Regions from separate parts of the Mus musculus genome. Here regions 1, 2 and 3 are each reported to be linked to region 4. The links are microRNA targets in miRTarBase. Many come from high-throughput screens and were not tested one by one. Region 4 holds a microRNA gene; each other region holds the end of a gene's coding sequence.

Region 1 (5,071 bases), not on the chromosome of region 4:
CTCACAAAGGACTAGAGACTGTCTGCTTCTTCTCAGCCTCTGCTAATAATTGTGACTTGAGCTAGACATAGACAGAATGAGCCATCTAGGAACCCTTCTGCCTGAGTTTCCACTTGAGAGCAGTTCCCCTCTCACACAAGTTCCCTCCCTCCCTTTCTTCCTTCCTTGCTTCCCTGTGGCTCCACTCTGCACTTTACTGCTGGTAGTGACAACCGTCTGGTCAATCTGTTGCTTGTCTTTTTTTCACAACACTTCACCATGGTAGGTACCTACCACACCAGACTTGTCAGAAAAAAGCATTATGAGAGTTTTAGACCTGCTTTTTTTTAATCCCCCAACCTCCCCTACAAACCTTCATCCCGGTTTTGCTGGTTCTTAGAAAGTTTTGATTTCTTAAACACAGCGGCAAGAAAATCAGCATGTGCTGCATTGACACCCACTACCTGTGTGCCTAAGGCCGTTCCCAGAGCAAAGTCACCCATGTGGCTGAAGACAAGCAGTAAGGAAAACAACCCCAAAAGAGTGCACCTGGAACCAGATCCATTTGGACTGGACTTTGAGTTTAGAGTTCTTACAACAAAACTCCAGGTCAATAGGTAGCTTATTAGAATAAATTCAAATTCCCCAAGTACATACATTCTCATACAAAGCAATCATCGAAGTTCATGAGTAAAACATTTAAAGTAAATAAAACCAATAGCAGGAAAGTGACTATTATTTCTTGTTTGTACAGGAGGCTCTGTCCTTACAGAGTTTCTGAGCCAGCATCATGGTCATAAGACACAGAACTTACAAAGATCCCAGGACCAAAGACATCCAAATTTATAAAGGGAGCATCTTGTCTGCCCAAGTTCTCTACTTCACTTCATAAGAACACTTGGGAACTCGGGTGGTTTTCCACACACATGGAATATGCCCAGTATGTAAGGCAAGTTCACACTCTGTTATTTCCAGTCTAACGACTCTCCCAGCACTGTTGGCAATCACTCAAACTGGACAAGCTCTGGTGAGAGGTGCCAACTAAGAGTAAGTCCCAGTGACAGTTTTCATGATTTTACAAGTTGTTATACTGCTATTACCTTTCATTTAGACTCCCCCCTCCCCCGATGTTCTGTGTCCCTTGGAAACAATGTTGGGCTGAGAGGAGTGGGATGTTTTCATCCTATTTGCCTTATTCAGGCATCACATCAGTAACTAAAGTGGTTCTAAAGAGCATGTGAAATGTATTCAAGTCTTCAGGAAACTTTGGTCTAATGCCCTTTCCCTCAGTGAAAATACTTTTATTTCTCAAAGAGACATACAAAGGTCAAACTCTAAACTGGTTTTCTATGTCTGCCTCTTTTAAATACAATAATAAACATTTACCAAGATCTTCATTTCCAGAGCTTGGCCAGTACCCTTCCTATACCTGTATTATAAAAACAGGGAGCTGTATAAATTGTTAAAGAAAGGCTAAAGGTGTAATTAAAAGGCTCTATTAATGTATTCCCTGTATTTGAAAAGGATGAAGATGTTTCACAATGGAAATCAGCAGATATGATCAAAATTTCAGAGCCAATCTGTACATAAAGTTGAAGGTTTCCCTAGAAGACCAATATAGCTGTAAAGTCTAGTTTTGGTCAGTTAAGTTTCCAAGTCTGGGAGGACAGTATAGTCCATTCATGTATTTCTAAGTTTGTCAACTCAAGTTAAAGATGGATCATAAAAAATTTGATTGCAGGCAAGCTATGAGGACAGCTGCAGGTGAACTCCACACACTCTCCTCACAGCATACCTTTAAAAAGCTTGAGGCTGGCTGTCTCAGAAACAGACTTCACATACAAATGAGCAACATAAGCCACTTACCCCAACAATGCAAGCTATTATCGAACTTAAACCATCCCAGCATCGGAACTGCTACCCAGCCTAACCCCTGCCTCTTTGATACATGAAATAAAAACAGTTTTTAAAAAGGGCAGGGTCTCATATAACCCAGGCCGGCCTAGAATTCACTGTGAGCCTCGTTTCCACTTCCCAAGCACTGGGATCAAAGGTATATATATCACCACACCCAGTCTGGGATTACAATTTTATACTTTAAAAAAGTCCTCTGCAAAATTCTCATAGAATTATCCTCTTACTGTGAGAAGGGATGGGGAAGATAATTCTTTGATGTGACTGCCAAGTACACTGCATCCCAATAAGAGTGCCAAGAAATATTTAGGGAAGCCCCCTCTTGTCTAACTCACGGCTGGTCTTCCTATAGGAGAAAGCAGAGACTGAAGAGTTATGGCTGCCCCCCCCCCCAGCCCCTCTTGGGCGGGGCGGTCATGTGCTTCCCCTTTCAGGCACGATCCCTGCCAACTCTGACAGTTCTACATTCTGTCATCTGAGTCAAGAAGAAAGTAAGTTACAGCCACTGCTGTCACCTTTCATTTTACTAAGGTAACAATGTAAGATCCTACAGGCATAGGTTTTATGTCCTCACAAGACTCCCTTTGTATCGGTGACTCAACTCCTGCAGTCTCAGGAGATTCTATGAAGAGAGCCACGGCTTGTCAGTCTGCCAATACCGTTTCCTAGTATCACGCCTGCTTCTCTTCATGGCATGAAAGAATCACATGTTTAGAAGATGGATCTCTAAGTAAGCTCAAATAAATGAACCATTACGTAAATGGAGCTTCCTCCCAGATACTCCTGTTGGTCCCTACATGAAGAGCTACTGCTTTCAGACTTCGTTAGATGGTTATCCAATGAAGAAGAGAATTCAGACTACAGACTTTCCCAGTGTCCATAAAAACAGGTGGGGGTTGAGTTGAGAAAAGAAAAAAAAATTCACAATTTAAATTTGTAATAATATTACCTTATATTTGTATACTTGTTCAGAAGTTACTCAGTTTGCAGTTTTAAAACATTTTCAATTCTTGAGGAAAAATGCTTAGGGTATAAATCTGTAGGAATTAGGGTAATCAAAAATAAATAAATAAATAAATAATCAACAAGGAAAACAGCAAAAGAGGCAACTGTGTACACACATCTTTCCTTACTCACAGCTGTGGCAGAGCAAGTGCTGTTCTTCTATAGTAGCTAACAATGCCATTGAAAGTGAAAATTCACCTGGAACTTCATGTCAACTTGAGTTTAATTTAAAAAAAAAAAAAGAAAGAAAAAGAAAAAACTTCAAAAGAATGAGCTACTGAGTGGGAATCTTCAGACTGTAATTACATTCAATTTAAGTTGGTTTAACTGAAGACAGGCATAAATGCGGCTAGACAGAGATATCCAGACTCCTTAACCACCTCTCCCATCCAAGTACCAACCAGGCCCTGCTTAGCTTTCCAGAAGGATAAGATCTGGGACATTTGGGGTAGCTTGTCATAGACTCAACTACCTCTCAGTACTCATAACCGAGGACACTATTAAGGAACTTCATACTTTGTGCCATCCCCAAAGATACATTTCTGTGCTATGTGTCTACCTGGACATACCTAGAAAACCAGAAAAATGGGCTTGACAGTGGGTCCAAAGAACACGTACTGATTTTTCACTGAGAGCAGAAACTCCAGAAATAAAACAGAGGTAGTTAAACAACTCTAACAGAAGAATAAACATAAAATAAAGCCACTTAAATACTTTTCAGAACTAACAGGGAGAGAGTAATTACCCATTGGTCTTTGTAAAGCCACTTAACAATGGTGACCAAAACCGGGTCATGATGGAGGACACAACAGTAGAATTCTTAGGACAAATTGGTTAAGGGACTGATGGTGTAAGTGCCGGCATGATATCTTTAAGAAAGCAGGCAGTGCCTTCTCTAATTTCTGTCATAGTTTTAGCATTCAGCTTAAAAATGGCATCATACAAAAAAATGTCACTCATGGCTGTAAGCGCAGTCATCAACAGAGGTAGTAAACCAAGGAACTCCTAAGAATAGATTTAAAATGGATCAAAGTGTGACTATACATTCAAAACCCTAGAGCCACTTAATTATCCCCAAATGAACTGCTTTAATTTAAAAAAGCTTAAAAACACAACAATGAAGCACTGATGTGCCTTAGGCACAGTCCCAACCAGTGCTGACTTAAAGCTATGTCCTCTCTTTTCAAGAAAGAGAAAGCAGAGAACAGAGTCCAATCTACAGAGGGAAGGAACAGAATGAAAATAACCAAATTGGTGCTGTCCAGCTGTCACCATCATTCTTTGTTTTCAGGTCCCATTAATGGTAATTCAGACTTTTACGGTTTTCTCACAACTTTTTTTAAACTGGAATCTTCTAAACAAAAGTCCATATTTCCACTGTAAGAGAGCCATTTTTGTGCTGTTTTTGCTTTCTCAGTGTGGGTCCTCCTTCCCTGAAAGTGCAAAGATAGCAAGCCACCACTTGCAGGCCGACAGGACAGCCCAGGACTCCTGCAGTCACCTGCAGAGCAGGGCGAAGGGTTTGCTGCACTGTGCTTCAAAGACCCAGCTCAGTCGCTCGTCCTTCTCAGTTGGCAAACTGCTCATAAAAAGCAAACTTGATTCTCTCTATGTGATGGCAAAGCTTGATGGCGGGGCCCAACTTTAAGTCCATGCACTCTTGAACAGTGGGAAGGGTAAGGAGCAAAAGGGCCTGCCCGTCGATTTCCTGTTAAGAATAAAGAACAAAGGCTGTGATATGCACACAATCAGACTCTCCTAGCATCAACCCTTACAACTACAGTTCTGGGACCCCCCTATTACCTTTCCCTTTGAAAAGAACCATAGTCTGCTACCCTGAAAAGCCTTCAGAATTAGTAATAAATTTACCAACCTTGATACTCTCAGCTACAGATTCTGCTCAGCAGAAAGGCAGTACCTAAGGAACCCTATAACTAATAACTAATTATGAAAAGAAAATACTTTTAAAGCACTCTATCTAAATCCAAAACTATCTGAAAATACTAACTATAAACCTTAATGTTCGCCTACCTTGTACAATTTATAAAAGAATTCAAAGATGATAGGGCTGTTTTACTTTTGAGACGTGGTCTTACTATGTAGCTTGGACTGGCTTCAAAATCACTATGTAGCCCAGGCTAGTCTCCGACTTGTGAGCCTCTATCCCAACTAT
Region 2 (5,071 bases), not on the chromosome of region 4:
CCATCCACTAGCTTTTGTTTGTTTGTTTGGTTGGTTTCTTGGTTGGTTGGTTGGTTGGTTTGTGGTTTTCTTTCTAGGCAGGGTCTCTCACTGGCCTAGAGCTTGCCAGGTGGGCTAAACTGCCTGGCCAGTGAGCCCTGAGAATCCTCCTGTCTCTGACTCCTCAGGGCAGAGATTATTAGAATAGTCCACCACACCATTTTTGTTGATGAGTGTTCTGGGGCTCTAACTTGGGTCCTTATGCTTCCAAGATCAACGTGTTAGCAACACCCCTTCCTCGGGCTCTGCAGGTTTAGCATTTGTATCCTTCATATGGATGCTTTCAGTGGCTCCAGAGTATCTAGGGTCATCAACACACATAGCATAAGGGCTGCCTTCCCAAAGGTCCAGAATTAAAGCAACACACATATCTTGGATAAGCTAAAAACCCCACAGCATTTGATATGTGCTATCTCTCCTAAGCAGGTAACATTTTCAGCATAAACTTGTCAGCTGGGGGGCAGGGGAGTGATGAAGCTGGAGTTCAACTTCCGAGCAACCCAAAATAAAAAGCCCGCATCCCAAATTATTAAAAAATAATTTTTATTTCATCCAAAGCGAAGCTAAATCCAAGTCTGCAATGCAAAATGTATTGTAGAGGCAAGACAACCTAATGGCATTCGATCTGTGCTTAGACGCAAGCGCTGGGCATGTGCAGGTCGGTGCCTCCTGGAGGCTCCCACGGCCCACCACTGTATTGCCTATAAAGTTAGATAGGAAAATTGACTATGGGTACTGTTATCCAAGCCAGAGGACTAAACCATGCATAAGATAGTCAAAAGCACTGCACATCCAGTGGGAGATGGGAGAGCAGGGACTCCAACCTGGGACAAAATAAAATGTAGCAAGCTAGAGGACTTCCCCACAAATCCCTCATTTGGGCATCCTTGCCCCAGCCCTCCGGTGGCAGTCGTCTGTCACCCTGACATGGAGTCACCCAGTAGAATCCAGGAGCATAGCCGTTCATTTATGTCTCTTAACCCTTCTTCAGTCTCCAGTTCAGGCTACTGAAGATGCAGAGCCCCACCCCCAACCCCTTCATCCCACATCACCCCTCGCGTGCACAGCCCACCCTCTTCTGTCATGCCTCTGCACCCGCAGACTGACTAGGCACGCCTTTCCACCTCCCACACACCACAAGCACTCCACACAAGTGCACCCTCACCTCCCACCAGCAGGATGCTCTTGCCTCCCTGGCTCCACAGAAGCGAGTCAGTCAGATACGTGACATTCTGCTGCCCTCCTGTCTGTCATTCTCCTGGGCCTTCCACACTGCAGGTTGATTCCAGTTGCCCTCTGCTTAGTTTCTACACCAAGGGATCTGAGCCCTCAAGGGCAGAAGTTTATTTGGAAGTCAAGAGTAAGGTACTTGTGCTTTGTCTTTGGTCTCACTGACATCAAGGTCAACACAACTGCATGGGTCCAGGTTTCCCCAAAGTCAACCGTATGAGAGGTGCTGTAGCCCACTGGCACCGGGACCAACCTCAGCAACCCTGAGATCGCTATTTGAAGACTTGCCTGTCAGAGGGTCTGGCTAGAGAAAATGGCTTTGCAAATATACATTCTAACACAATCCGTGGTAATGCCTGCACAGGCATGCCGCTAGCACTAGGCCAGACATTCTTTGTTAAGAGGACTGAGATTTGTGCTCTTAATCCCTATCCATTAAACGCTAGTATTTATCACAGGCATTGGGGCAACAACAATATAAAAAAGTACTCCCATAGTCCCAGGTACCTCCATCAAAAAAAAAAAAGAACTGGGGACAAAGATGCTTTAAGCATCTGAGTCATGATGCCTAAGGTTGCTAAAGGAAGAAGAATGAGGCATATGCATATTATTGGGATGCAAACCAGAGATGAGGACAGGATAGATGTGGAACATTCTCGCTGGTTATTAGCCTTGTTTCCCAGTGCCTTTCCAAGCCAGGCCAAAAAAACAAAAAACACAAAAATCTCACCAAGCCTCACTGCAGTCCTGTGAGGTAGGTATTATTTCACCCTTTGGGTAGATGGGAGAAGCTGCAAGGGCTGCCTATAAGCTGACAGTGAGCAGGAAGCTGGGAAGGGAGAGTCCCTCCCTCTCTTCTGCTCTATGCCTTGGCTTCCTCTCAGGAAAGCAAGAAGAACCCCCAACACTTGGCCTCTTCCAGTGTTGGGGGAGAAAGCAGTTTTACATGAAGGCAGCTGGAAGTTTCCTGAATGGCTGGAGGCTCGGGTGCCATGTTGGTTCTCAGAGCCAGGTTACTCTAAGCAGGGTGTGGGCTCACACCTGTCATACCAGCACTGTGGCAATGGAGGCAGGAGATTGGGAGTTCAAGGCCAGTCTTGGCTACATAGAGAGGTGGAGGCCCGCCTGGGCCACACATGAGACTCTGCTCAAATAAATATTTAAAAAGCAGGAGACGGGCAATTTTTACCCAGCTCACAATGAGTTCTGGGTAAAGAAGAATGGGAAGAGTGGAGGCAACCCCAAGAGCCCCTTGGCTTGGGCAACAGACACTAGCCAAAGCCACAGTCACCTACAGATCCTACTGTGCCTTAGTCTCCCCCAACTTCCATTTGGGGGGGGGAACCTTCAGCTACTCCTGGGCAGAGCCTGTAGCAGTCCTTACACCCCCCTGAAAAGAGGACTAATCTCCATCTTCTGACATTAAGGGTATCAGAAATCTGATGAGGAAGAGGGACTTTGGGTATCCCATTTCATACATCACAGAAACCCTAGCTAGCACTACGGTTTGTACACGGTCAAACCCATCTGAAGGTCCCACATCAAATGCCATCCTATCTCCATGTCAGGGACAAGAAAGGGTGCCCTCAGGTGTCATCAAGGCTGCCACCAACCCCGGCTTCATGGTCTCTTCCATGGCTTTGGGGTAAGGAGCTGGGGAGCCCCGCCAAAGTCACACCAAGCTGTGCAATTAATTCAGGGAGTGTGAGCCGAAAGAAAAGGGGCTCAGAACCAGGACTCGAGGAACTAAGGCACAATCTAGCCCCACACTCAGGGGGTGTGCAAGCCGGCTCTGCCAGAAGTCAAGAGAAGGTGTGAGTACCTTCTCCCAGCTCCTCCTCAGCCTCAGGCTAGGTGAGGAGTCAGCCCAGCTGGGCAAAAAAGAAGCTGGAAAAGCCAAGGGCCTTCTCATCTGGAAACAAGGGTCCCTGAGGCAAAGGCAGACCCAGAGCTGGGGGGCCAGGAGCAGGGGAAGGCCAGGCATGCTGGATGGACACAGAAGGAGCAAAGGTATGGGATGACAAGTCCTAGGAAAGCATCCCTCAGGGAAGGTGGCAATGCCAGCTGTTTCAAGGGAAGGGAAGAAGAGTGAAAAACTGAGCTCCGGAAGTGCCAGGGTGGCATGGTCCTGCCATGCCAAGGACAAGGGCTGTCAGTCTTGTAGGGCTGGGGTAGACATTCCAAAGGCTAGGAGACCAGGGGCACTGTTCTCCTGCCTCTGAAACCCAAAGAGCAAAGCCAGTATAGCTGCAAATAGCACCCCAGTGCTCCAGGAGAGTGGAGGCTGCCCCCTCCCCACAAGCCTCCTCAGCAGCTGCAGCCCAGAGAGCAAAGACAGACTAGGCAGGCAGCAGGAGGAGGCTGGTCGGGGAGCCAGGACAGTGTGGGCAGGTGTTCTAGGGTAAGGGAAAGAGAAGTCCTCTCTAAAGGAACTTCCAGAAGCCTGATATTCTTCAGAGCCCAGCTTGCCTCTCACAACTGCCCCCCCCCCCCCCAGAAGACACCATTCTAGACTTCTTGTGCATTCCCAGCTTCTGAAGCGGTCACCCTCTACCCATCTCCAGACCCCAGCTTTGGAAGCAGCCCTCACTGGTCACCCCGATTTCCTGGTGAAAGATCAGAAGGAAAACTGAGGAGAAAACAAGGCTTCACAGAGGGGAAAATCTAAAGGAGACCCCACGTGCCCAGGATCCGGGAACCAACCTTCCACACCACTCCAGCCCCTCCCTTCCCTGTCTTCAATCTCCTGTAGGCTTCCTCCCCCAGTCAACCAACCCTTGTCCCTAGGAAGCCCTGGCTGGGGAGAGAACGGCAGCTGGGCAGGGCCAGGTCCTTCCTGCTCAGAAAGAACAGTTTGGGCCAAGCAGCACACATCTCAGATAGGACTTGGCATCAGGATCACCATCAGAAAGCGAGGCTCCCTGCCCTGCTTGGCCCGAGCAGGGCCTCACACTTTTGTGGGTGGCTTCTCTTCTGCCTTGGAGCCAGGCAACCCGTTCTCTGTGTTGTCATTCCCAGAGGAACTCACGAGACACTCCTTCCTGGAGGGGGGAGAGAGTTGAGAGGAACAAGAGATGAAGGAGTGGGTGCATAGCTCCCTGTGCCAATCCTGCACCCTCTCCCTGGCCTTTTCTGTTCTGTTCCAGAGATAGCCTACCTTGTCACCTGTCTTGCTGAGAACACAGCTCTCTAGTGTCCTTCCCCTTTCTGGTCCCTTTTTCTTGCTCTGGCCCTTCCAAGATTCCGCACCTGCTGCTTTAAAGACAGCCTGATGCTGTTCCAGAAAATTCTGGGCCAGGCTCATACCCTCTCTACCTGCCCATCCTTCTCCTCCTTCTAGTGAGGAAATAGACTGAATCCAAGACCTCACACATGCTAGGCAAGCCCTGTATCAGTTAGCAGCATCCCTGACCCTAGATGCCTATTGCCATAACTGAACTTATCTTAGGACGTTCTAGGAGGTCATGTCACCCTTTGGGGTTTTAGTTTAGTTTCATTTAGGTTTGGCTTATGAAAACAGGGCCTCATAGTGTAGACAAGGCTGGTCTTGAACTCAAGGGGATCTTCTAAGTGTGACTCTCAACCACTGGGATGGCAGGCACGAGCTGCCATGCTTGACTGCCAGACATTGTTTCTGCCTCCCCCAACTGAATTATCAGAACTTCTCCTCTCCCTAAAAGAGTCCCTCCATTCTAGAGTCTCTTTCGTGAACTCACATTTTCTATGATAGAAATGAAAATATAGAGGCTTCCCGAATCTGATGGTAGGTTTTAAGGCAGGTGGTACAAATGGGAAGAGAGAG
Region 3 (5,071 bases), not on the chromosome of region 4:
GCCTGCAGGAGGGTAGAGTTGGCTTGGGTGAGAAAATCTGGTACCCACTCTGCCTTTTTAGGTGTTAATGGTTGCTGCTGGCGCTAACCTTTCAGCATTTATGTCTGACCCCTGCCCCGCCTTGTCAAAGTCACAGCTGATACTGGGAGTGTTGATTAGTTAGGCCTTTGCCCTGAGAGACTTGTCTCTGCCACCTGGGCTGGGCAGGGTTGAGAACAGGCAACAGGCTAATTAGCTTTATCCTTCTTGCTCCTAGGACCTGCACACAAACAGCCCCAGGTACAGCAAGGGCTCCTACAATGACCTGAGCTTTGTAACACATGCCAACAAGGAGGGCATTCCCATGCGCAAGGGTGAGCCCCTGGGGGAGTTCAACCTGGGCTCCACCATCGTGCTCATCTTCGAGGCACCCAAGGACTTCAACTTCAGGCTGAAGGCAGGGCAGAAGATCCGCTTTGGGGAAGCACTGGGCTCCCTCTAGTCCTCTCGGTTGTGGCTGCCAAAGGATCTTTCCACACAGGAGCATGAGGGTCTTCAGCGGAGCCTCAGGCTGTCTGGGTGAGGGGCACTGCGGGGCTGACCTTATAAGATTGCCTGTCCATGGGTGCAGAGGAGAGGTTCTGGGTCTCTCAGGACAGGACCTAGACCCCTTTTCAGAGTATGGGTGGGTGTGATTTGACCCCAAAGTCACTTTCAGGGGTGTTTTAAATTTTTGTACAAGCCAGAGCCTCCCACCCCTAACTCCTGGCTGTGTACTACCACACCCTCTAGCTGTGACCCCTCCCGTCACAGGGCTCTCTCAATGTGCACAGGGTGAGGTGCCTGCTGGGCACAGACTGTGGATCCACTGTCTTCCTAGAGCAGGCCACATGGCCTTCATAACTGCTTTCTGCTCCCCAATTTCACCCGTCTGCTTTCTGGAAAAGTAAAATCATTTATATAATGCTGAATGTGTTATCCTGGGCTCTGCCAGTGTCTTCTGAGGACAATGACTAATGATGTAGACCTTTGTAGGCTCTAAGAAGCTGGCTGAATCCTTTTGCTGGTAGGCAAAACCAATTAATTACTGGCTTGTCTGGTAGAGTCTGGAGTGAAAGGGCAGGTGGAGGCCCTGCCCTGCAGAACTAGGGGACATGCTGCTATTGGTCTAGGGACTGTGTTGGAGGCAGAGGGTATAGAGGTCAGTACCTAGAAAACAGGTATGCAGGCCATGGGGAACCCAGTGGTAGGGACAAGACCAGAGTTCATGTCGATCTTGGGAATGCCATGAATTTCTCCTGCAGGAGAAATCACTTAACTTTTTCAACTGTATCAGTAGTACCGTATTTTGTATGAAAAGTAGGAGACTTCTGAACAGTAATTCATTTCATTGCAAGACATTTTGAAATTAAAAAAACAAAACAAAAACTACCGTAGCTTTGTATTTTGTTGTTGAGGGTGGGGCAGTGTGTCCAAGGCCTGGTGAAGGATAGCACCTGTCCCCCAGGGATGGGCCCACTAGCACAGAGCCCGTCTCAGGCTGACACTGGGCCTCGAGCTCCTTAGCCAGCTGCTGGATCTGCAGTTCCACCTGGGGACATGGGAGAGAGGGAGGGACAAGGCAAGCTGAAAGGAAGGACAGCCAGGGGCTTACCTCCTCCAGTTCGGTTTTCACCTGCTCTTCTAGATGAAGGTCCTTAGATCTCGGCACCTCCTGGCTTAGCTCCAGCCACCTACGCAGGCTGTTGGCTTGTTGCTGGCATGACTTGGAGATGGGGACACCTATCAGGCTGGGTCCTTGGCACAGCCTCAAGCGAGCCCTTTGAAGAGGTATATTGGCTAATAAAGTGCTTTGAGAGAATGGCCAACAATCTTCTGTCTTTCCCAGCAAACAGCAACTCATGTGAGCCGTGTGAAAACTTCTCTTCCTGTCCCTTTCTAGAGGGATCAGTCTTTTTCACTGAGGTCTCTGAAAACTGCTGTATGTCAACTGTCCCCAGAACACTGGGTATAAGTAGGACCCAGGCCCACGCTGTTTGTCCCTTGTTAGCATTACAGTTACAGTTGTCAGGTAGGTAACAGAACCCAGGCAAGCCTTGCTTGGCGTTCCATAACCTCCAAATAGAAAACAGGACTTCCAGCCCTAGGTAAGGCCAACTTGACCCTTCCCGGAGTAGATAAAGGTGCCAGAGGACACTCACCCGACCCCCTGGAGTTAGACCACACAGAGGAGTCCCAGGCCCTGCTGCAGGAAATGGAACTAACTGCCTTTCCAAGCCACAGCTATTCCCATAGACAGGTCTCAGGGCACCTGGCGGGCCTCACCAAAGGTCCTGCTTGGTGGTTTGGTAGTGCTGTAACTGCTGCTGGATCCCCTCCAATTCAGCCTCAAGCTCTGTGTGGCCTGCAGCAACAGGAAGGTAAGTCTGACCTTGCCCACCATCCCTTTAGGACCCAGGAGACTGGTAGGGCTTTGGTAGAGGGTGGCCCCAGCACCCTGACTTACTTACCTGTAGCCTCGGAGCCATAAACAGGCCCAGCCAGGTGCTTATGGAATCCCTGGGGAGGAGATGGGGATCAAGGTCCCTGGGTAAGGACGGGCACCCCCAAGGCTGAGGCCCAGGGATGCTGGGCTTCACTGACACCTGTAGAGGAGCAAAGGGTGGATGCTGAACAAGAAAGCTAGTAGGGACCCTGGGAAGTGAGTCCTGTCCTGATTCATTGCCCACTGGGCCTTGCAGTGCTGAGGGTGACTGCCCTGCCTGTTGAGCCTCAGGGAAGACTGTTCCAGGGTGGCACTCCTATCCCACCACTCCTGCACCCCCAAGGCTTCTCTTCTGCATGCCACTATTTTTTTAAAAAAATACTTACTTAAATACTAATTTACTGAGACAGAGTCTTGCTATGAAGCCTAGACTCATTTTGAACTCTCCATCCTCCTGCCTCTACTGCCTAAGTGCTGAGATTGGGTATATGTCACGTCATCAGCCACTCTTCACCAGAAACTGCCTCCTTCCTGTCTCCACCCCTCCCCAGTCGGCACTAACTTTTAGGAACTGCCGACTGGCTGTTTTCAAGAGTACCCCCCTGGCTACCTTTGCCCAGGACCCCATGTCCCCTATGCTTTTCCAGGTGACTTTGCCCTGCAGTATAGATACTCATAGCCTTGAAGGCTGATTGAATGGGGACCGACTGCCTCACCAGACACTGGACCCTACCCCAGATTCCATCTTTTAGTAAAAGAATTCTTTCTTAGTGACCCTGGATTCCTCTTCCGTCCTCACCATACCTAGCATAGCAAGTCCCACCAAAGACAGTCCCCAACAGACTGTCACACACACACCAGTGAGAGGCTACAGCCAGAGCACTAGCATGTCTGTCTGATCATACCACGGCTCATGGCTGCCCTAGCACTTAGTGCTCTGAGTCCAGGCCAGATGTGGTGCCCTACAACAGCCCCTCAATTTCTTCCTGTCCCCCAAGACCAGAGGCCCTGCTGGGAGCCCACCTATAAGATTCTTCTGGTTGTCCAGACATCAGTCATTGCTCAAGGGCTGGGGTGTTAGAAGACTAGCCACTGCTGTGTTTTAGGCCTGGTGTGCAGGGCACCCAAGCTTGTCAAGTGACCAAGGTATTCTAGAAATAAGAGTAGTAAGGGTTGGAGAATGAGCACCAAAGGAGAGTGAGTGACAGCGCAGTCGAGAACTCACCCTGGCAGTGCCTCCTGCCGCACGGGGCATGATGGAGGAGGGAGGCAGCAGCTCCAGGCCTGCCATAGGAGGCAGCTTCGGATCAGGAACATTCGGCAGGACCCCAGGTAGGAAGGGTCTTTTCAGGGAAGGGCCTCCCAGCGGGGCCGTGCTTTCCTCCTCCGGGGGCTTCTCTAACCCAAGCAGAAGCAGAAGCTGCTCACACCATGGAACCTTCCCCTGAATTAAAGGGACCAGACATCCAATAAAATATAGGAACACAGAGTTTTCAGTGCCTTTGGACTCACAACCATTCAACTTACTGCTGTTCCCAAGGGTGTACCACTCTGGGGACCTGGCTCCCCAAACGCTCAAGCAGGAAGGATGGACGTCGGGGCTGTTTCCGTGATGAGCGGGCTGCATTGCTGGAGAGAAATAGTCTGTTCCTTGGACTGACAAGGTCTGTGGGGGGACCTAAGATCTCGCGAAGGTTCAGTCCTTGGCATTTTACAGGGAGACTGAAGGCCAGCATGTGCACAGGGTAGGTCTGAGCCTAGACAACTCAACATGACCCTTACAGCCTTCCTGACTGATTCCTGGGTGCTGGAGCTGCACCTGTTTCTTTTGACCTTCACAGCAAGCTGACGGTATGTGTTCTTTCCTATCAGAAGACCCTCTGTCTTAGTCAGGGTTTCTATTCCTGCACAAACATCATGACCAAGAAACAAGTTGGGGAGGAAAGGGTTTATTCGGCTTACACTTCCATGCTGCTGTTCATCACCAAAGGAAGTCAGGACTGGAACTCAAACAGGTCAGGGAGCAGGAGCTGATGCAGAGGCCATGGAGGAATGTTCTTTACTGGCTTGCCTCCCCTGGCTTGCTCAGCCTGCTCTCTTATAGAACCCAAGATTACCAGCCCAGAGATGGTCCCACCCACAAGGGGCCTTTCCCCCTTGATCACTAATTGAGAAAATGCCTTACAGTTGGATCTCATGGAGGCATTTCCTCAACTGAAGCTCCTTTCTCTGTGGTAACTCCAGCTGTGTCAAGTTGACACAAAACTAGCCAGTACAATTGACCCCTTGTCAACTTGACACACAAACACATCACTAGTAAGCCTCAACCCTTACATTCTTATTCATCCCCAAGGTCTAAATAACTTTAAACATCCCACAGTCTTTACATATTCTTAAAATTTCAATCTCTTTAAAATATCCATATCATTTAAAATCCAAAGTCTTTTTACAATTAAAAGTCTCTTAACTGTGGGCTCTACTAAAATAGTTTCTTCCTTCAAGAGGGAAAATATCAGGGCACAGTCACAATCAAAAGCAAAAGTCAATCTCCAACCGTCCAATGTCTGGGATCCAACTTACGATCTTCTGGGCTCCTCCAAGGGCTTG
Region 4 (5,071 bases):
CTGCAGAGGTGACTGGCTCCCTAAATGTGCTTGCTACATGTACCTCCCAGAGGTTGGGAGTTTGGTTCCCAGCAACAGGCAGGAGGCTCACAACCACTTGTAACTATAGCTCCTAGGTATGCAATACCATTTTTTTTCTTCTTTTGGACTCCACAGGTACCTGTTCATGTGTAGTGTGTGCACGCAAGCTCACACACTTTAAAAAAAAATTAACAATAACAATAAAGGGAAAATAACCAATGTATACTTTGTGAATGATGAAACTAAAATTAAAGGCTTAAGGGAAATTGAAGGAATAAGGATAATAAAGATCTTGAAAAGATAAAAAGTAGCCAGTTGTGGTGGCATATCCTTTCTTTAATTCAATCACTCCAAAGGCAGAGGCAGGTAAATCTCTAAAGTCCAGGTCAATCAGGTCTATAGGTTGAGTTTCAGGACATCCAAGACTACCCAGAGAAACCCTATCTGGGGGGGGGGAGGGGGGGATGAAAAGTATCTCAAATACAACAGGAAGTATCTCCATATCAAGAACAGGATTCTTGGAATGCTGTACACTGAAGAACAGGTTTTATATTTTAATTTGGTGCAGCAGATATCACTGTTTCTGATTATCTGTTCTAAGTAATATAAAGCTTGACATCTCTTAGGAGACAAAGGCAAAGACCATTTAAAATAAACCTAAGCCAGAGGTTTTAAACTACTACACAGGAAGATACCTTCCTTCCTACCTACCTTCCTTCTTTCCTTCCTTCCTTTCCTTTTTAAAAATTTATTTTACTTATATGAGTACACTGTAGCTGTCTTCAGACACACAAAAGAGGGCATCAGATCTCATTACAGGTGGTTGTGAGCCACCATGTGGTTGCTGGGAATTGAACTCAGGACCTTTGGAAGAGCAGTCAGTGCTCTTAACCACTGAGCCATCTCTCTAGCCCCTATATTTTCATTTCTTTGGGCTTCCATTTCACAACAACCGAACTCAGCAAAGATTACAAGAGAAGAATTTTGGGGCTGGTGAGATGGCTCAGTGGGTAAGAGCACCCGACTGCTCTTCCGAAGGTCAGGAGTTCAAATCCCAGCAACCACATGGTGGCTCACAACCATCCATAACGAGATCTGACTCCCTCTTCTGGAGTGTCTGAGAACAGCTACAGTGTACTTACATATAATAAATAAATAAATATTAAAAAAAAAAGAGAAGAATTTTGATGGAGAATGAAATAAAGTGATGCAGAATGTAAACAATTCCATTTGAACCAAATTCTCGCTGATTTTTTTTTTTTTTTCCCTCTCAAGAAGTGCCATTTGGCTACTTTAAAAATGAATCTTCATCACTGGGCATTGTGGCACACACCTTTAATCCCAGCACTTGGGAGGCAGAGGCAGGTGAATCTCTGAGTTCTGAGTTCGAGGCCAGCCTGGTCTACAGAGTAAGTTACAGGACAGCCAGGGCTATACAGAGAAACCCTGTCTCGAAAACAAACAAACAAACACAAAAAAGAATCTTCAGCTAGGTCAACCATCAGTATTTAAACCCAAAGCGGCTGGAGAAATGATGGCTCATTGGTTAAAGAGTACTGGGGGCTGGAGAGATGGCTCAGCAGTTAAGAGCACTAACTGCTCTTCCAGAGGTCCTGAGTTCAAATCCCAGCAACCACATAGTGGCTCACAACCATCTGTAATGAGATCTGATGCCCTCTTCTGGTGTGTCTAAAGACAGCTAAGGTGTACTCATATATAATAAATAAATAAATCTTTAAAAAAAAAAAAGAGTACTGGCTGCTTTTCCAGAAGACTCAAGTTTGATTCCCAGCACCCATATGTGGGCTTATAACCATCTAACTCTAGTTCCAGGGAATCTGACACATTCCTCTGGCCTTTGAGATTATCAGCCATATACTTAAGCAAACACCCATACACATAAAAATAATAAATTTAATAAATACATTTAAGAAAATATTTAAACACAAAGTATCCTAGATTAGATAGATATTAACCTCAATTCAGCCAGCAGCTCTACAAAGCTTCTATGTTGCTTAAAATAAAGCCAATATTCTGAAAAATGTTTAATTAGTTTTCAAGACTTTTCATAAAAAATATTCAATAAATAGCCAGGCATGATGATACAACCTTTAATCTTAGCACTCAGAGGAAGGCAGGCAGATCTCTGAGTCTGAAGCAGCCTGCTCTACATAAAGAGAGTTCCAGATAAGGGGAGGGGAAGGAAGGGGGAGGGGAAGAGAGGGAGGGATGGGAAGGGAGGAGAGGAGAAAAAAATGAGGAGGAAAAGAGGGAGGGAGGGGGGAAAAGAAAGTCAATAAGTAATAAAAAATAACCACCCAAAACAAAGATCAGATACATCTGGCATTTTAGTTGCTCTGTGTTCTTCTAAAGATTTTTATTTTTTAAGTATGTATGTATGTATGTATGTATGTATGTATGTATGAATGAATGTATGTATGTATGTATGTATGTATGTATGTATGTATGTATGTATGTGTGTGTGTGTTTGTTCAAGTGCCTGTGAAGGCTTGAGTTGACAGATCCCTGCAGCAAGAATTGGTAGTTACAGATTGTGGTTAAGACAGGTGCTGGGATCAAAGTCCCGCCTAGAAAAGTACAAGTTCTTATCTGCTGAGTCATCTCTCCAGATACACTCTCTGTGCTCTAGTACACATAGAATTTTTACTTTTCCTATATGGGGAAAAAAAATCATGGAGCATCACTAGCACTTCTGTGGTAATTTAGCAGCCCATGATTCTCAGCTACTGAGTTTTGTTTTTCATCTTTTTCTCTGAAATATATGACTTTAGATGTATTTTCTACTATTACAGGCAAACAAGAAGGAATTTGCTTGTTTGATTTAGCTCTGCAGTAAAGGTTCAAATCTGAGACTGGTAAAGGAAGGAGAAAGCAACATATCCAACCAATACTGGAACAATGAACTCTGGTGTTCAAGTTCTGGCTATGGAACTCCGGGTAAGTCTCTGTTTCTTAAGGAAAACACGGTTGGAATTAAATATACAAATCCTACTACACATAAGTCCCCAGCATGTGTTATGGTCTTTCTTGTTTTTGTACATTAATAATTAAAGTATTACTACAAAATTGCTATATTGATGTTTTCAGAATGATAGCATTGAAAAATATTTCCACAGATATCCACTTTTAGTCAGCAATGTAAACTGCAGTCTCACAATCCTGCAGCTCATTTCTGCTTTATGCAAACTAACTTCACAGTGTAAGTACTGTTAACTTGAAATTTTGGGAAGAATGTGAGAGACCCAACAGCAGTGGTCCTTAGAATATGAGAGCAGGCCAAAGATGGGCAACCAAGCCAGCCTTAAGAGGACTCCATGGAACATTCAACGCTGTCGGTGAGTTTGGGATTCAAAAACAAAAAAACCACCGACCGTTGACTGTACCTTGGGATTCTTACAGACAACAAGTTTCCTGAAGCAAAGGAGTAGGCTGTACAGATATATCATGTGACAGACATCACAAGATACAGTCCTGTGGCCTCTTTTCTAAAGGGAACCAGCAAGTTTTTTTTTTAAGCTTCCATGTATTTATATTGTCTATTTTTTGTAATTTCTTGATAAATAAGTGTTTCATTTTAACAATTTATGGGAAGTGCCATCATAGTACCAAATGCACTCAAATATCTTCTAGAAATGTGTCATTCTAGTCAGAAATAGGGTGTATTAAAAATGTCTATTTACTGTAGGAAAAAAATCTAGTTAAGTCTTTTATTCTCATTTCTTCTACGTCCTTTCAAATTTTTGCTTTAGGGTCAAGAGATTTACTCAGCAAAAATACTCACAGAGTTACTCACTGTCTATACAAATCATATTGTGCCTCCAGTTTCAGTTACTGCGGTTAGGGATTTGACATCTCCATGAGAGAACCAGATACATTTCCATCTCCATGTGCTAATTTAAGGAATTCTGGGTCATCTCTGAGCCTCCGTATCCAAGTATGTTTTCTCAAATGTAGAATAGGAGAGGAGAGAACCTCAGAGTTTTAATTTAATGAGAAGATATATGAGGGTACTTTGAACAGTTTCTGGCTCACAGCAAATGTTTACTACAAAAATTTTTACTTAACTGCAATCATAATCTATACTGCTTTACCTTGAAAAGGGCACTTAACGTCTCAGCTTGAAACAAAAGATGAAGCAATGTCTCTGAGGGCTCCTTTACAGACATCAACATCCAAGTCTCAGCCCATGTGATCAGAGCTACTTACAAGGTTCTCACATAGTGCCTTCTTCCTCACAACTTTTCTGTCTTGAACAAGTTCTTGCTATACAGTCAAGGTGATCTATAATTATGAGTCCACAACCATACAGATGACTAGTTACTAACATACAACAGACTTCAAAGAACCATAGTGGGAAGAAGAGCCAGGAGATAGAAAAGACCAAGACAATTTCATCAAAAGGAAACATTGATGGCTGCACTCAACATTCATTGCTGTCGGTGGGTTTGAATGTCAACCAACTCACTGATCAATGAATGCAAACTGCGGGCCAAAAAACGCAAAGAAACAAAAGTACTCCCAGAGAGTCACCAGAGTACGGAAGTACTGCTCCAGGTGGGACCTCAATCTTTTATCTAAAGTCTCTTTAGTTTCTTTGCTTCTAATATGGAAGAAGCTCTATAATTCCTAGTATTTTTTATTTTCTTCTCAAATATTCCAAGTTTTGGGAAATTTATATTATCACAGGCAAAAGGATTAATATGCCTTGACATCATAATATTTAAAAATAATACTTAAATATACATAATTATTTTAAAATAAAAGTATATGAAAAGAATTTAAATCTATCCTCATCTCAAATACATTCCTTCTATGAAAACTACATAAAAACATCCATTTAATAGTATTACTCACACAACATAAAGAAAAATTTTATACCTTTGAAGACTTATCTACATGTATAAAAACAGAGGCAAAACTGTAATTCAGGGGAAGTTCAATGGCAACAAAAGGAACTCACTGCTCTTCAATTTACCTTTACACTCAGCTATATACTTTAAGCTTAACAAACCACATTTACTATTATTTT

The links. The annotated mature microRNA mmu-miR-181a-5p reads AACAUUCAACGCUGUCGGUGAGU and lies in region 4 at 3,361-3,383, shown strand. An mRNA with a match to its seed (bases 2 to 7 or 8) in the 3' UTR can be bound and repressed. Matches are read on the target gene's strand: a 7mer-m8 pairs with bases 2 to 8, a 7mer-A1 pairs with bases 2 to 7 and ends in A, and an 8mer does both.
Region 1: the mRNA of Sfmbt1 is a reported target of mmu-miR-181a-5p. Seed matches in the 3' UTR shown: 8mer at 3,940-3,947, 8mer at 3,202-3,209, 7mer-A1 at 2,356-2,362 and 7mer-A1 at 634-640.
Region 2: miRTarBase lists Scn4b as a target of mmu-miR-181a-5p. Seed matches in the 3' UTR shown: 7mer-A1 at 1,598-1,604.
Region 3: the mRNA of Pisd is a reported target of mmu-miR-181a-5p. Seed matches in the 3' UTR shown: 7mer-m8 at 947-953.

Annotation. Positions count from the first base shown.
Region 1 is chr14:30,817,243-30,822,313 of GRCm38, reverse strand. Sfmbt1 (Scm-like with four mbt domains 1) reads right to left here. Exons shown (of 21, transcript NM_001166532.1): 21 at 1-4,606. The coding sequence ends at 4,466. Among named protein-coding and RNA genes, the nearest start is that of Stimate, 5.8 kb to the left of the region's middle.
Region 2 is chr9:45,149,650-45,154,720 of GRCm38, reverse strand. It overlaps Scn4b (sodium channel, type IV, beta), which reads right to left. Exons shown (of 5, transcript NM_001013390.3): 5 at 566-4,310. The coding sequence ends at 4,217. Among named protein-coding and RNA genes, the nearest start is that of Scn4b, 14 kb to the right of the region's middle.
Region 3 is chr5:32,732,640-32,737,710 of GRCm38, reverse strand. Pisd (phosphatidylserine decarboxylase) reads left to right here. Exons shown (of 8, transcript NM_177298.3): 8 at 257-1,397. The coding sequence ends at 481. It overlaps Gm52771 (a long non-coding RNA gene), which reads left to right and starts at 4,090. Exons shown (of 2, transcript XR_003955740.1): 1 at 4,090-4,315. It also overlaps the pseudogene Gm2420.
Region 4 is chr2:38,849,381-38,854,451 of GRCm38, forward strand. Mir181a-2 (microRNA 181a-2) reads left to right here and starts at 3,355; the gene lies at 3,355-3,430. The region is part of intron 3 of Nr6a1 (nuclear receptor subfamily 6, group A, member 1); the gene reads right to left. Nr6a1os (a long non-coding RNA gene) reads left to right here. Exons shown (of 7, transcript XR_866167.2): 3 at 2,835-2,979. It overlaps Mir181b-2 (microRNA 181b-2), which reads left to right and starts at 4,450; the gene lies at 4,450-4,538.